Saccharomyces cerevisiae S288C: one gene and its partners. The protein of the gene in region 1 interacts with the protein of each later gene in a biochemical or structural test. Each region holds a gene or a part of one and is shown in the gene's direction. Other genes may lie near its edges.

Region 1 (6,629 bases):
CTGTTTCTCAATATTTATTTGACCGTCTTATACCCAATATGGTAATATACCAGTAATATAAATACTAGTCGTTAGATGATAGTTGCTTCTTATTCCGAAAATGAGTATGGAAGTGTTGCATATGATAGGGCGGCTACAGTGATGGTAAACATAAGATACTTTAGCGGGAAATTAGCAACTGGAAGTTAAATTATCTAGACATAAGTGTGGCGGTCACGCTGAACGCAGGAGATCGGATAGATTGATAAGCTGATCAAGAACATTGATCGGTTTGTTGTTTAAAGAATGGTTTTTGAAAACGTTTGACCAGTTGCTTCTCCCAGACGCTTACCGATATGATGATAAAGATAATATCTTCAATTGAATACCCCGTGGATCAGCACGAATAACAGAAAAAAAGGGTGAAATTCACCGTAAGCATGATACGCACTACGTTCTTCTTACCTTTGCCAACGTGTTGTCTTTGACGTACGTAATTATGGGAGATCGTTGATGATTAGCCCCAGCTCACTTTCTTCTTAATGACTGACCCGCTACTATCAAAATTAAGGTGTCAAATATCATGATGAATGAGGTCTCTAGGCGACTCAATTATACATCTTTTAGAGATTTTTTTACTACTTGCAGATAATTTCTCAAGGGATTAGATTCAAATCTGGCTTGTCAATTACGCCCTTTTCAAGCTCATCAAATTGCGTATGTCATTCATGCTTCCATTAGGAACCATAGAAGCATGGCTGAAATGGCAATATACGGCTTCCCAATTTCAACTCTAAAGTAATGGCGGTCGAATTTAATCTATATTTTACAGTTTTATACGTACTTTAAAAGCAATCAGTAAACACCTCTGGTGCTATTCAAGGGTTTTTTGCCTTTATTTGTTACTGTCAATTGTCTGGCGCTGTGATAAAAAACAAGGCATAAAGCTCCCCCGTCATGAACATTAAGACTCGCTAGACGAGAGAGTGAAATATAATGCATTTCCTGATTTAAATGCGCTACAAACATGGTGTAAATCTGGCCCGGAGTGAGTGCTTGCCAATTTGGCTTCTAAGGGAGAAAGATCAAACCACTCCCAATTGCGTCATTTTGAAAGAGTGGCCACCTCGCGAGCGTCTGTCGAACTAACTGATGAATAAATATATAAGGAGAAAATCACTTCAACTTCGCTACAAGTAGTCACTATTTGTAGCAACTGTAAACGAACACATCAAAGAATAAGATTACATTCTATATCTAAGACTAAATTTTAAATGTCCGCTAAATCGTTTGAAGTCACAGATCCAGTCAATTCAAGTCTCAAAGGGTTTGCCCTTGCTAACCCCTCCATTACGCTGGTCCCTGAAGAAAAAATTCTCTTCAGAAAGACCGATTCCGACAAGATCGCATTAATTTCTGGTGGTGGTAGTGGACATGAACCTACACACGCCGGTTTCATTGGTAAGGGTATGTTGAGTGGCGCCGTGGTTGGCGAAATTTTTGCATCCCCTTCAACAAAACAGATTTTAAATGCAATCCGTTTAGTCAATGAAAATGCGTCTGGCGTTTTATTGATTGTGAAGAACTACACAGGTGATGTTTTGCATTTTGGTCTGTCCGCTGAGAGAGCAAGAGCCTTGGGTATTAACTGCCGCGTTGCTGTCATAGGTGATGATGTTGCAGTTGGCAGAGAAAAGGGTGGTATGGTTGGTAGAAGAGCATTGGCAGGTACCGTTTTGGTTCATAAGATTGTAGGTGCCTTCGCAGAAGAATATTCTAGTAAGTATGGCTTAGACGGTACAGCTAAAGTGGCTAAAATTATCAACGACAATTTGGTGACCATTGGATCTTCTTTAGACCATTGTAAAGTTCCTGGCAGGAAATTCGAAAGTGAATTAAACGAAAAACAAATGGAATTGGGTATGGGTATTCATAACGAACCTGGTGTGAAAGTTTTAGACCCTATTCCTTCTACCGAAGACTTGATCTCCAAGTATATGCTACCAAAACTATTGGATCCAAACGATAAGGATAGAGCTTTTGTAAAGTTTGATGAAGATGATGAAGTTGTCTTGTTAGTTAACAATCTCGGCGGTGTTTCTAATTTTGTTATTAGTTCTATCACTTCCAAAACTACGGATTTCTTAAAGGAAAATTACAACATAACCCCGGTTCAAACAATTGCTGGCACATTGATGACCTCCTTCAATGGTAATGGGTTCAGTATCACATTACTAAACGCCACTAAGGCTACAAAGGCTTTGCAATCTGATTTTGAGGAGATCAAATCAGTACTAGACTTGTTGAACGCATTTACGAACGCACCGGGCTGGCCAATTGCAGATTTTGAAAAGACTTCTGCCCCATCTGTTAACGATGACTTGTTACATAATGAAGTAACAGCAAAGGCCGTCGGTACCTATGACTTTGACAAGTTTGCTGAGTGGATGAAGAGTGGTGCTGAACAAGTTATCAAGAGCGAACCGCACATTACGGAACTAGACAATCAAGTTGGTGATGGTGATTGTGGTTACACTTTAGTGGCAGGAGTTAAAGGCATCACCGAAAACCTTGACAAGCTGTCGAAGGACTCATTATCTCAGGCGGTTGCCCAAATTTCAGATTTCATTGAAGGCTCAATGGGAGGTACTTCTGGTGGTTTATATTCTATTCTTTTGTCGGGTTTTTCACACGGATTAATTCAGGTTTGTAAATCAAAGGATGAACCCGTCACTAAGGAAATTGTGGCTAAGTCACTCGGAATTGCATTGGATACTTTATACAAATATACAAAGGCAAGGAAGGGATCATCCACCATGATTGATGCTTTAGAACCATTCGTTAAAGAATTTACTGCATCTAAGGATTTCAATAAGGCGGTAAAAGCTGCAGAGGAAGGTGCTAAATCCACTGCTACATTCGAGGCCAAATTTGGCAGAGCTTCGTATGTCGGCGATTCATCTCAAGTAGAAGATCCTGGTGCAGTAGGCCTATGTGAGTTTTTGAAGGGGGTTCAAAGCGCCTTGTAAGTACTTGGCTCACGAATACATATCAAGATACTTATGATATATATATATAGAAAAAGCTTACTTTTCTTGGAGTTATTGTTATTATCATCGCGAAGAACGATTGTATAACCCGGTTCAACGCGAAACGAATCGTTAAACTGGTGAAATGTTAACGCGAGTGTCAGAGATATACATAGTATGAGAGTAGCTAGATGTTGAATCGGTGGTAAGAACAAGAAGGAAATACCGTTAACAAGTGAAGGAACAATCTAGTATTGTTGAACAAGAATTATGAGTACCGACTTTGATAGAATTTACTTGAACCAATCTAAATTTAGCGGTAGATTCCGTATTGCTGATTCTGGGTTAGGGTGGAAAATTAGTACCAGTGGTGGCTCTGCAGCAAATCAGGCAAGAAAACCATTTTTATTACCAGCCACAGAATTATCTACCGTCCAATGGAGTAGGGGCTGCAGGGGTTACGACTTGAAGATAAATACCAAAAATCAAGGTGTTATCCAACTAGATGGATTTTCTCAGGATGACTATAACTTAATCAAGAATGATTTCCATCGCCGTTTTAATATTCAGGTAGAGCAAAGAGAACATTCCTTACGTGGTTGGAACTGGGGTAAGACAGACCTTGCCAGGAATGAAATGGTTTTTGCTTTAAATGGTAAACCAACTTTTGAAATTCCTTATGCTAGAATAAATAATACAAATTTGACCTCTAAAAATGAAGTAGGAATAGAATTTAATATTCAAGATGAAGAGTACCAACCAGCCGGTGACGAATTGGTAGAGATGAGGTTCTATATTCCTGGTGTTATTCAAACAAACGTCGATGAAAACATGACCAAAAAGGAAGAGTCAAGCAACGAGGTCGTACCAAAGAAAGAAGATGGTGCTGAAGGAGAAGATGTACAAATGGCAGTAGAGGAAAAGAGTATGGCAGAAGCATTCTATGAAGAACTAAAGGAAAAGGCAGACATCGGGGAAGTCGCTGGTGATGCAATAGTTTCCTTCCAAGACGTCTTTTTTACCACGCCAAGAGGTCGTTATGATATCGATATTTACAAGAACTCCATTAGACTCAGGGGTAAGACCTATGAATACAAATTGCAACATCGTCAAATACAAAGAATTGTTTCGTTACCAAAGGCAGATGATATCCATCACTTATTGGTTTTGGCAATTGAACCTCCTTTACGTCAAGGACAGACCACCTACCCCTTTCTTGTCTTACAATTTCAGAAAGATGAGGAAACAGAAGTGCAATTGAATCTAGAAGATGAAGATTATGAGGAAAATTATAAGGATAAATTGAAAAAACAATATGATGCTAAAACTCATATAGTTTTAAGTCATGTATTAAAAGGTCTGACTGACCGTAGAGTCATTGTTCCTGGAGAATATAAATCCAAATATGATCAGTGTGCAGTTTCATGTTCTTTCAAAGCAAACGAAGGTTATTTGTATCCATTAGATAACGCTTTCTTCTTTTTAACTAAGCCAACTTTGTACATACCATTCAGTGATGTTAGCATGGTAAACATTTCAAGAGCAGGACAAACTTCTACGTCATCGAGGACGTTTGATTTGGAAGTGGTACTGCGTTCAAATAGAGGTTCTACCACTTTTGCCAACATCAGTAAGGAAGAGCAGCAATTATTGGAACAATTCCTAAAGTCTAAAAACCTAAGGGTGAAGAATGAAGATAGAGAGGTACAAGAAAGGTTACAAACCGCTTTAGGTTCAGACAGTGACGAAGAGGATATTAATATGGGTTCCGCTGGTGAAGATGATGAATCAGTAGATGAGGATTTTCAGGTCAGCTCTGATAATGACGCAGACGAAGTTGCAGAAGAGTTTGATTCAGATGCGGCTTTAAGTGATGCTGAGGGGGGTAGCGACGAAGAAAGGCCTTCGAAGAAGCCTAAGGTAGAATAGTAATAATTTTAGACTGTATAAGTTAAATTTATTGATATTGTGTAAAAACTAACTAATATATTTTGCCAATTGATATTATCATGACATGGTGAGTGTAAGACACCACCTCTTAATTACTGGTGTTATTCTATACATTTATTTGAAATTGGTTTTGTTTTGCAAAATATTTATGTTTTGTTAATCTCCTCTACCCTTTCAATGCTTGAAAAATACTTTCAACTTTTCGATTGGGTGATGAAAAAAAGACAAATAGTGTAAAGGGTTCAAAAATAAATAACAAGCAAGAGAAAGGGACTTTGCTTTTCTCATTTAGTCACCAGTAAGTTATGTCATGGTGTAGAATAACGAATTACAGAAAACTAATATAACTGATGAAAGACCAGGGAGTAAAATGGCTTTGACTCAGTTTGAAAATGATTTGGAAATATTAAGAGATATGTACCCAGAACTGGAAATGAAATCGGTAAAAGTAGAGGAGGAAGGTGAATTCCCTCAAAGAATTAACGGAAAGTTACTGTTCAAGATATCACTATTGGCCGATGTAAATATTGAGTTCGGCGAGCAACATATGTTACTTTCAAACTTATCTAATGAATGCGTGGAGTTCACCATATATAGCTGTCATTATCCGGACATTCGACGGTGTGTTGTTATGGATATCAAATCCTTATGGATATCAACAGATGAAAAGAAGATGTTAATTGACAAAGCGCTGAGACTCGTTGAAGAAACTGTAGATATGAGTATTGAGTTCGCGGATTCGTTTACCTCCATCCTTATCCTCATCTTTGGGTTTCTTATAGATGATACAGCTATATTACTATTCCCTAATGGAATAAGAAAGTGCCTGACACAGGATCAGTATGACTTGTTTAAGCAGATAAGTGAGGAAGCCACCCTCCAAAAAGTGAGCAGATCTAACTACCATTGTTGTATTTGTATGGAAATGGAAAAGGGTGTTAGAATGATCAAATTGCCATGTGAAAATGCGAATGTAGAACACTATCTTTGCAGAGGATGCGCCAAATCTTATTTCACTGCAATGATTCAGGAAAACCGAATATCCAGTGTAAGATGTCCACAATGCGAATACAAAGAATTAAAACTAGAAGATTTCAAGAGCTATAAAAAAATGCTGAAGGCATTGTTTACACCTTTGATTCCAGTGTCCTTCTTAAAAGAGGTTATCGATACAGAGCTATGTGAAAGATACGAAAAAATGTTCTACAACCAGGCGGCTACAAGACTCTCAAAATATTGTCCGTATGCTTGTGTGACTTGTCGAAGATGTGATAGTTGGTGCACAAAAGAAGACCTCGATGATGCGATGATTCAGTGTCAAAAATGTCATTTTGTATTTTGCTTTGACTGCTTGCATGCCTGGCATGGTTACAACAATAAATGTGGCAAGAAAGTTTCGTTATCGACCGATATTATTGAGGAATATCTAGATGATACCGTTACTTCATATGAGAGAAAGCGGAAACTGGAGGCAAAATATGGGAGAAGAGTATTAGAACTTGAAGTCAATGATTACCTTGCTGAAAAAATGTTAGATTTAGCGATTAAAAAAGAGGGTTCGAATTTGCAGCGATGTCCAAAGTGTAAGGTAGTTGTAGAAAGAAGTGAAGGTTGCAATAAAATGAAATGCGAAGTATGCGGGACGCTGTTCTGTTTTATATGCGGAGTATT
Region 2 (6,416 bases), on another chromosome or scaffold:
TGAGTGACGTTAGAGAAAAACCCAGCAATGCTCAAGGCTGCGAACCGCAAGAAATGGATGCTGTGAGCAAGAAAGTTACTGAACTGAGCTTAAATAAATGTTCAGATTCCCAAGACGCGGGGCAGCCTTCAAGGGAGGGATCTATTACCAAAAAAAAATCGACGTTATTGCTGCGTGATGAGGACGAGCCCACTATGCCAAAGCTATCTGTTATGGAAACTGCTGTGGACACTGACTCTGGGTCTTCGTCTACTAGCGATGATGAAGAGGGAGATATTATTGCCCAGACGACAGAGCCCAAGCAAGATGCCAGTCCTGATGATGATCGCTCAGGCCATTCTTCGCCCAGAGAGGAGGGACAACAGCAAATACGTGCCAAAGAAGCTTCGGGAGGTCCAAGTGAAATCAAGAGCTCATTAATGGTTCCCGTGGAGATAAGGTGGCAGCAAGGTGGTTCAAAAGTTTACGTGACAGGCTCATTCACCAAATGGAGGAAAATGATCGGTTTGATACCTGATTCTGACAATAATGGCTCATTTCATGTGAAGCTAAGGCTGCTTCCAGGCACACATAGATTCAGATTTATAGTGGATAATGAGCTTAGAGTTAGTGATTTCCTGCCCACAGCAACTGATCAGATGGGAAACTTCGTCAATTACATAGAAGTCAGGCAACCAGAAAAAAACCCAACTAACGAAAAGATAAGGTCCAAGGAAGCAGATTCCATGCGACCTCCCACCAGCGATCGATCCTCAATTGCTCTACAAATTGGTAAGGATCCAGACGATTTTGGTGACGGATATACAAGGTTTCATGAAGATCTGTCACCCAGACCTCCGTTGGAATATACAACAGACATTCCCGCCGTGTTTACTGACCCGTCTGTCATGGAACGATACTATTATACCTTGGATCGTCAGCAAAGCAATACTGATACGTCATGGCTGACACCACCCCAATTACCTCCTCAGTTGGAGAATGTTATCTTGAATAAATACTATGCCACGCAAGACCAGTTCAACGAGAACAACTCAGGCGCTCTGCCCATTCCGAACCATGTGGTGCTTAACCACTTGGTTACTAGTAGCATTAAGCACAATACACTTTGTGTAGCCTCCATCGTTCGATATAAACAGAAATATGTCACCCAGATTCTTTATACGCCCATAGAGTCCTCGTAATCCGGGATTCCTACTTTTTAAAGGCGTATTGTATATATTTTTGGCAGCTATGGCACACTAATTTCTATTTCCAATTTAGTGTAAGCAGAGATATAGAAGCATATAACATAATGATTTACTAATGGGCTCAGTACTCTCAATGCTTATTGTTATCACAAACCACGATACTAATACCCGGAAGTCGCGTGATCTTTTTTTTTTTCGGAAAATGAGAATCGCCACTTTTCTAACGAAAGAATATTGAAATCTTAATATTGGTGAGAAGAGGAATAAAAGTAGCTAAGAGAGTCACGGGACTAAAAGGTAAAAAGTTCAGCTATTCCAACTTTACTCCTTTCTGATATTGCACCTTTCGTGAACTGGCTTCGTGTATTTAAGTGAATATGGAAGAGCTGAATATTGATTTTGACGTATTTAAGAAAAGGATTGAATTGTTGTATTCCAAGTACAATGAGTTTGAAGGTTCTCCAAATTCGCTGCTGTTTGTTTTAGGTTCGTCCAACGCTGAAAACCCGTACCAGAAGACGACCATATTGCATAATTGGTTGCTAAGTTACGAATTTCCCGCTACTTTGATTGCATTAGTTCCCGGAAAGGTTATTATAATTACTAGTTCTGCCAAGGCCAAGCATTTACAAAAGGCAATTGATCTATTTAAAGACCCTGAAAGCAAAATTACGCTGGAATTGTGGCAAAGAAACAATAAAGAACCAGAACTCAATAAAAAGTTATTTGATGACGTTATTGCCTTAATCAATAGCGCTGGTAAAACAGTGGGTATCCCTGAAAAGGACTCTTACCAAGGTAAATTTATGACTGAGTGGAACCCAGTATGGGAAGCGGCTGTGAAGGAGAACGAATTCAATGTCATTGATATTTCGCTGGGTCTTTCTAAAGTTTGGGAAGTGAAGGATGTTAACGAACAAGCCTTCCTGTCCGTTTCAAGTAAGGGGTCGGACAAATTTATGGACCTTTTATCCAATGAAATGGTTCGGGCAGTTGACGAGGAGTTGAAAATCACCAATGCCAAGTTATCAGACAAAATTGAAAATAAAATTGATGATGTGAAATTTTTGAAGCAATTGAGTCCCGATTTAAGCGCATTATGCCCACCAAACTACAAATTCAACTTTGATTTATTGGATTGGACCTATTCTCCAATCATTCAGTCCGGGAAAAAGTTTGATCTTAGGGTTTCTGCCCGTTCTACCAATGATCAGTTGTACGGCAACGGTTGTATTTTAGCTTCATGTGGTATTCGTTACAATAATTATTGTTCTAATATTACTAGGACCTTTTTGATCGATCCATCTGAAGAAATGGCCAACAACTACGATTTTCTATTAACTTTGCAAAAAGAAATTGTAACTAACATTCTGAAGCCCGGCCGTACACCAAAAGAAGTTTATGAATCAGTAATAGAATACATCGAAAAAACCAAACCTGAACTAGTGCCCAATTTCACCAAAAACATTGGTTCATTGATTGGTCTCGAATTTAGAGATTCTAACTTTATATTAAATGTTAAGAATGATTACCGTAAAATCCAACGCGGTGACTGCTTTAATATTTCGTTTGGTTTCAATAATCTGAAAGATTCTCAAAGTGCTAACAACTACGCTTTACAATTAGCTGATACGGTTCAAATTCCTCTCGATGAAACAGAGCCTCCACGCTTCTTAACAAATTACACCAAAGCCAAATCCCAGATATCATTTTATTTCAATAATGAAGAAGAAGACAATAATAAAAAGAAATCTTCACCTGCCACCAAAGTCCCTAGTAAACCAGACAGAAATTCCAAAATTTTAAGAACAAAGTTACGTGGCGAAGCCCGTGGTGGTGCCGAAGACGCTCAAAAGGAGCAAATTCGTAAAGAAAACCAAAAGAAGCTACACGAAAAATTGGAAAAGAATGGATTACTCAGATTTAGTGCTGCTGATGCCAATGGCCCAGATAGTGAACCTCGTCAATACTTCAAAAAATATGAATCTTATGTTCGGGATTCACAACTACCAACCAATATTCGTGATCTAAGAATTCATGTCGACTGGAAAAGCCAAACAATTATTCTACCCATTTACGGTAGGCCAGTCCCATTTCATATAAATTCATATAAGAATGGTTCTAAAAACGAAGAAGGCGAATATACGTATTTACGTTTGAACTTTAATTCACCGGGATCTTCTGGTGGTATTTCTAAAAAAGTGGAGGAATTGCCGTATGAGGAATCAGCAGACAATCAATTTGTACGTTCGATTACACTAAGATCCAAAGATGGTGACCGCATGAGTGAAACCTTTAAACAAATTGCAGATTTGAAAAAAGAAGCCACAAAGAGAGAGCAAGAACGTAAGGCGCTTGCTGATGTTGTTCAACAGGACAAATTGATTGAAAATAAAACTGGAAGAACGAAAAGACTGGATCAAATTTTTGTGAGGCCAAATCCAGATACAAAACGTGTACCTAGTACTGTCTTTATCCATGAAAATGGTATCAGATTTCAATCCCCACTAAGGACTGATAGCAGAATAGACATATTATTCTCAAACATTAAGAATCTAATTTTTCAATCTTGTAAAGGTGAATTAATTGTCGTCATTCATATTCATTTGAAGAATCCAATTTTAATGGGTAAAAAGAAAATACAAGACGTCCAATTCTATCGTGAAGCTTCTGATATGTCCGTCGATGAAACTGGAGGTGGAAGACGAGGTCAATCCAGATTCAGAAGATATGGTGATGAGGATGAGCTGGAACAAGAACAAGAAGAAAGAAGAAAACGAGCTGCGCTTGATAAAGAATTTAAGTATTTTGCAGACGCAATCGCAGAAGCATCAAACGGTTTATTGACGGTGGAGAATACATTTAGAGATTTGGGCTTCCAAGGTGTCCCAAATAGATCGGCAGTTTTCTGTATGCCAACTACAGATTGTTTAGTTCAATTGATTGAACCACCATTTTTGGTGATTAACCTAGAGGAAGTCGAAATCTGTATTTTAGAAAGAGTTCAATTTGGTTTGAAAAACTTCGACATGGTTTTTGTTTATAAAGATTTCAATAAACCCGTCACTCATATCAATACAGTTCCGATCGAATCTTTAGATTTCTTGAAGCAGTGGTTAACAGATATGGATATTCCTTACACTGTCTCAACAATCAATTTGAATTGGGCAACTATTATGAAGTCATTACAAGATGATCCATATCAGTTTTTCTTAGATGGTGGTTGGAATTTTCTGGCTACTGGTTCAGATGATGAAGCATCTGATGAAAGTGAAGAAGAAGTTAGTGAATATGAGGCTTCAGAAGACGACGTAAGTGATGAAAGCGCATTTTCTGAAGATGAAGAAGGATCAGAGGTGGATGACGATATTAGTGGTGATGAAAGTGAGGACTATACTGGCGACGAGAGTGAGGAAGGTGAAGACTGGGATGAATTAGAGAAAAAGGCTGCTAGGGCTGATAGGGGTGCAAACTTTAGAGATTAGACTTTATAACACTTACTGGGTTTCACCAGCAAGACCTTGATCTGACAGAAAATTACTCTTATGTATCTGAAAAATAATGATGGTATTTAGGCATAGTATTTATCAATGCTAAGAAATGTAAATGGACTGAATGTACACTCAATGCTAACGGTCAAGGTCATAGGACGTTTGCGTAATAAAAGAAACTCTACTAGAGTTGAACATAATTTGATATAAAAGTATATAAATTGAAAAGGCAGTTTCAATCATTTTAGTTTCTGCAATTTATTTATTCCTGTAATCTACAATTTTATAGTTGGGAAATTCTCTCGAAAATATTAAGAAAAATACAGAACTCATAAGGTCTTTTTTATTGGCATTTTGAAATCCCCTCAGATAATCAAAGATGCTAACAAACAAAATAATAACGGTAAAAAAAAAAAAAATACACGATGGGGTACAGCAAACGAATTATTTTATCCACGTCTTAAAATCCTGTGGGTTGAACGTTCATCGCGCTGTTCATCAGCATCAAAGGTTGGCCATCTTTGTGCTCTTCATTAGATCCGGACTTTTTAGCGAGTTCTTCGGTGATTTTCTTAATGGAATCATTCTGCTCTTTTTTTATGGAGATTTCAAATGGCTTAATGTAGTCCTCCAAAGAATTCATCCATGATATTTCTAAAACAAATTCAATTCTCACTAAGTTGTAAGCAGCATATAGCAAAGCAACAAAGCCTTCTCTGTTACCGGTTTCAACGAAATATGTGAGTAGAGCCTCCACTACCTTTGGATCCTGAGAGATTGCTGCCGTCTCAATAGCGTCCTTCCATAGCTTTTCTTCCTTCAAGATTGAAAGACTCTTTGCCCACTTCTTATTTCTACGGTATAACAGGGCTCCTATTTTCTTGAAAAAAATTAGCTTATGAGATTCCAAACGAGATGCCAATCCCAATTGGTCAAATTTGTCATAAGAATCAACAGCGTCTTGCAAAGCTTTATAATCTTCTTCTTCAATCATCAGATCGTGGTAGGCTTGGTTGACAACTGAGTTATTTTTTGGTAAGACATTGATCAAGAAAGGCTTGATTAAAGGCAAGTTGTCGGATTTCGAGAAAATTTTGACAGTTCTTGGAATATCTAATCTTGGTGTCAATGAGGTCAAAAGATCAACTAGTAATGATGGGTGAAATTTGACGTAGAAATTAATGGCCTTGTAATAGATTTCTAAGTTAGAAACTTTGACAACAACTTCTTTGAAATAGGCGTGATCCAAGTCTTTGGTTGATTTTTCGATTAGTGTTAAAGCAGCATTATCCCATTCATCATAGTGAGCATATAAAAAGACCAATTCCGACCAGAGGTGAGCTTGTTCGACAGCTCTAATAACCTTTGGAATATTTATTCTGGACCAGAATAGCTTCAAGTGTTCGAAGGTCTTGTCTGGTTCATATTTGGAATACAAAATGGCCAATTCAGTGAACATGCCCATATGAGCTCTTTCAAGTCCCAAACCAGCTTCAAACAATGAAATCAGTTCTTCGAAATAGCCGTTTGATTCATACCTTTCCACCAGTTCATCTAATTCTTCAGCGTGAACGATCAAGTTCAACCCACAAATTTGAGCCAGCTTGAATTCTTTCTTTTCAATACAAGCGTCGTTAACCAGTTTCCAAACTTTAATGTTTGAAGCCTTTCTAGCAGTGTCAACAGCAGCCTGATAATCTCCCAGGTAAACCAAGGTAGAAGCAAGCTTGGAGTAATT
Region 3 (3,983 bases), on another chromosome or scaffold:
CCACTTGAGAGAGGATCAAGGAATACTGAAGTGCAGCTGACGATCCAGTCAGCGACATCTGTCTTTTTTTAATTACTATTGCTGTGTACTTATAGAGTCGGTGGCATTTATTTTATTTTTAGTATTTTTTTATACGTGCGTATTCTATTGTTCATTTTTTTACCAATTTTTTTTTTATTTTTATATTTTGTTTCTTGCGTGGAGTTTTTACAGGAAGTTAATCACAACAGAGGGTTCAATCTCCAAGGCATAAAATAAACAAAAATTGTAATAGTTAGCAACTGCAATACGAATTAAAATTTGAGGAAAAATCTAGTATTGTTCACACGAGCCAATGCTCTGAAGTTTCGAAAGCTAATAAATATCATGTGGAAACTTTTCTGAGTCATTAATAAGCAACACTATTTATTCTTCTTATAATTAGTCTTACAAGTAAACTGCCTTGCCGCATAAGCGCATTCCCTCTATGAGACCATTTGTAATTTCGAGAACACAATTTTACAACCGAGTAAATATCTTATAATCATTAAAATTATTAAACTATTATACAATTTTTTTTACTTTACTTTAATTTTTATATACCCATATAAATAATAATATTAATTATAACCAAAGGAAGTGATTTCATTATGCTTGAGTAGAGGAAGAGTACTTGGTAACAGCTCTAGTACCTTCAGAGACAGCATGCTTAGCCAATTCACCTGGTAAGATCAATCTAACAGCGGTTTGAATTTCTCTAGCAGAGATAGTAGACTTCTTGTTATACGCAGCCAATTTAGAAGCTTCAGTAGCGATTCTTTCAAAGATATCGTTAACGAAAGAGTTCAAGATAGACATGGACTTTTGGGAAATACCAGTGTCAGGGTGAGTTTGCTTCAAAACTTTGTAAATGTAAGAAGAGTATGTTTCCTTTCTAGCCTTGCTTCTCTTCTTACCATCAGTGGAAGTGGAAGTCTTTTTAGCGGCTGGTTTCTTTTCAGCTGGGGCTTTGGAGGCTGGTTTCTTTTCGGCTTTAGCAGACATTGTATGTGTGTATGGTTTATTTGTGGTTTGACTTGTCTATATAGGATAAATTTAATATAACAATAATCGAAAATGCGGAAAGAGAAACGTCTTTAATAAATCTGACCATCTGAGATGATCAAATCATGTTGTTTATATACATCAAGAAAACAGAGATGCCCCTTTCTTACCAATCGTTACAAGATAACCAACCAAGGTAGTATTTGCCACTACTAAGGCCAATTCTCTTGATTTTAAATCCATCGTTCTCATTTTTTCGCGGAAGAAAGGGTGCAACGCGCGAAAAAGTGAGAACAGCCTTCCCTTTCGGGCGACATTGAGCGTCTAACCATAGTTAACGACCCAACCGCGTTTTCTTCAAATTTGAACTCGCCGAGCTCACAAATAATTCATTAGCGCTGTTCCAAAATTTTCGCCTCACTGTGCGAAGCTATTGGAATGGAGTGTATTTGGTGGCTCAAAAAAAGAGCACAATAGTTAACTCGTCGTTGTTGAAGAAACGCCCGTAGAGATATGTGGTTTCTCATGCTGTTATTTGTTATTGCCCACTTTGTTGATTTCAAAATCTTTTCTCACCCCCTTCCCCGTTCACGAAGCCAGCCAGTGGATCGTAAATACTAGCAATAAGTCTTGACCTAAAAAATATATAAATAAGACTCCTAATCAGCTTGTAGATTTTCTGGTCTTGTTGAACCATCATCTATTTACTTCCAATCTGTACTTCTCTTCTTGATACTACATCATCATACGGATTTGGTTATTTCTCAGTGAATAAACAACTTCAAAACAAACAAATTTCATACATATAAAATATAAAATGTCCGGTGGTAAAGGTGGTAAAGCTGGTTCAGCTGCTAAAGCTTCTCAATCTAGATCTGCTAAGGCTGGTTTGACATTCCCAGTCGGTAGAGTGCACAGATTGCTAAGAAGAGGTAACTACGCCCAAAGAATTGGTTCTGGTGCTCCAGTCTACTTGACTGCTGTCTTGGAATATTTGGCCGCTGAAATTTTAGAATTAGCTGGTAATGCTGCTAGGGATAACAAGAAGACCAGAATTATTCCAAGACATTTGCAATTGGCTATCAGAAATGATGACGAATTGAACAAGCTATTGGGTAACGTTACCATTGCCCAAGGTGGTGTTTTGCCAAACATCCATCAAAACTTGTTGCCAAAGAAGTCTGCCAAGGCTACCAAGGCTTCTCAAGAATTATAAGATCGGTTCTGGTATTTTAAAGAAGGCGGAAGGAACTAAACTGCTTCTCCATTGTAACTATATTAAGTGTCTATTAGACCTTTCTGTTTTTCCTTTTTATTTTTCTATATATAATTTATTGGGTATATAATTAACGGTAACATATGTCATGCATGATATAAATTTTTTGTTGTGTCTTCCTGTTTTCTCTGTTGCTCTGTTTAGGTTCATTGGGCACTGTTGCTTACTTGAACATGATTGAGTAGCAAACACATTCTGTGCTTTGTTCACTTTGATAGTGTGACGAAATTTTCACAACCAAAGGAAAAAAGCTCACGATTGCGCGATCCTGTCACGGAGAACTGTCCGCAGCAGCCCGCGGCTTCTGTCCTTATTCGCCCATTTTTTTTTGATTTTCGACTTTTTCACTCTGGCTAGTTTTATTACGCATATTTGTATATATATATACGCATAAATTTCTGAAATGGATTACCTGGTTTATCAGAAACGAGAGCTTTAATAAAGAAACATTAACGTTTCTCTGGTAAAGTCACCACACAGCATCAAATATAACAGTAATGTCTAGCTCAGAATCCATTAGAATGGTCCTAATTGGCCCACCTGGTGCCGGTAAAGGTACTCAAGCTCCAAATTTGCAAGAGCGTTTCCATGCCGCTCACTTGGCCACTGGTGACATGTTGAGATCTCAAATCGCAAAGGGCACTCAATTAGGTTTGGAAGCAAAGAAAATTATGGACCAAGGTGGTTTAGTCTCTGATGACATTATGGTTAACATGATCAAGGATGAATTGACCAACAATCCAGCTTGTAAGAATGGGTTCATCTTGGACGGTTTCCCAAGAACCATTCCTCAGGCTGAAAAATTGGACCAAATGTTGAAAGAACAAGGAACTCCTTTGGAAAAAGCCATCGAATTGAAGGTTGATGATGAATTGTTGGTTGCCAGAATTACCGGTAGATTAATTCACCCAGCCTCTGGCAGATCCTACCACAAGATCTTTAACCCACCAAAGGAAGACATGAAGGATGACGTCACCGGTGAAGCTTTAGTTCAAAGATCTGATGACAATGCAGACGCCTTGAAGAAGAGATTAGCTGCTTACCATGCTCAAACCGAACCAATTGTTGACTTTTACAAAAAGACCGGTATCTGGGCTGGTGTTGATGCTTCCCAACCTCCTGCTACTGTTTGGGCTGACATCTTGAACAAGCTAGGTAAGGATTAATGACCTTGCGCAATGTCTTCTAAATATCTTTTCTTTTTTTTAAATTAATGAAAATATAATAAATTTTTGTATGTGAGTACATATATCCGCAGTATACTATAAATGAAATAATAACATAAGTGTTTGTAACTGGCTATAACGTCCTTAAACATGTGCACTGCCATTAAGTACTTAGTCAATATTTTTATCGTTGAGAACGAACGCAAATCATATTACTAAATAGATGAACAAAAGCGCATCACATAAACAAAAACGGTATAACAGTAATAGTGAAGCTTTTTATAAACCTATAACGAAATAAGCGCTTTTCAGGTTTTATAATTCAGTCAGAGTTCTAACTGGACATCGTTTTGCAGGGGATAAAAAAAAAAAGGAAGCTTCAACCCACAATACCAAAAAAGCGAAGAAAACAGCCAATGCCAAATGACAATAAGACACCCAATAGGTCCAGCACTCCCAAGTTTACTAAAAAACCAGTAACCCCGAATGATAAAATTCCTGAAAGAGAAGAAAAATCC

What was found. The genes of interacting proteins can lie anywhere in the genome.
Region 2: the proteins of POB3 (region 1) and SPT16 form a complex in vitro, tested with the Saccharomyces cerevisiae proteins (6 studies listed by BioGRID).
Region 3: the proteins of POB3 (region 1) and HTA1 form a complex in vitro, tested with the Saccharomyces cerevisiae proteins (3 studies listed by BioGRID).

Annotation. Positions count from the first base shown.
Region 1 is NC_001145.3:132,222-138,850, forward strand, and holds POB3 (FACT complex subunit POB3), read left to right. Parts: upstream 1-3,278; coding exon 3,279-4,937; downstream 4,938-6,629. Other genes in the region: DAK1 (dihydroxyacetone kinase), read left to right, coding at 1,254-3,008; ITT1 (RBR-type E3 ubiquitin transferase), read left to right, coding at 5,329-6,629. UniProt on the Saccharomyces cerevisiae protein: Component of the FACT complex, a general chromatin factor that acts to reorganize nucleosomes. The FACT complex is involved in multiple processes that require DNA as a template such as mRNA elongation, DNA replication and DNA repair.
Region 2 is NC_001139.9:97,405-103,820, forward strand, and holds SPT16 (chromatin-remodeling protein SPT16), read left to right. Parts: upstream 1-1,564; coding exon 1,565-4,672; downstream 4,673-6,416. Other genes in the region: SIP2 (Sip2p), read left to right, coding at 1-1,181; CHC1 (clathrin heavy chain), read right to left, coding at 5,139-6,416. UniProt on the Saccharomyces cerevisiae protein: Component of the FACT complex, a general chromatin factor that acts to reorganize nucleosomes. The FACT complex is involved in multiple processes that require DNA as a template such as mRNA elongation, DNA replication and DNA repair.
Region 3 is NC_001136.10:913,690-917,672, forward strand, and holds HTA1 (histone H2A), read left to right. Parts: upstream 1-1,840; coding exon 1,841-2,239; downstream 2,240-3,983. Other genes in the region: HTB1 (histone H2B), read right to left, coding at 628-1,023; adenylate kinase ADK1, read left to right, coding at 2,797-3,465; chromatin-silencing protein SIR4, read left to right, coding at 3,882-3,983. UniProt on the Saccharomyces cerevisiae protein: Core component of nucleosome which plays a central role in DNA double strand break (DSB) repair. Nucleosomes wrap and compact DNA into chromatin, limiting DNA accessibility to the cellular machineries which require DNA as a template.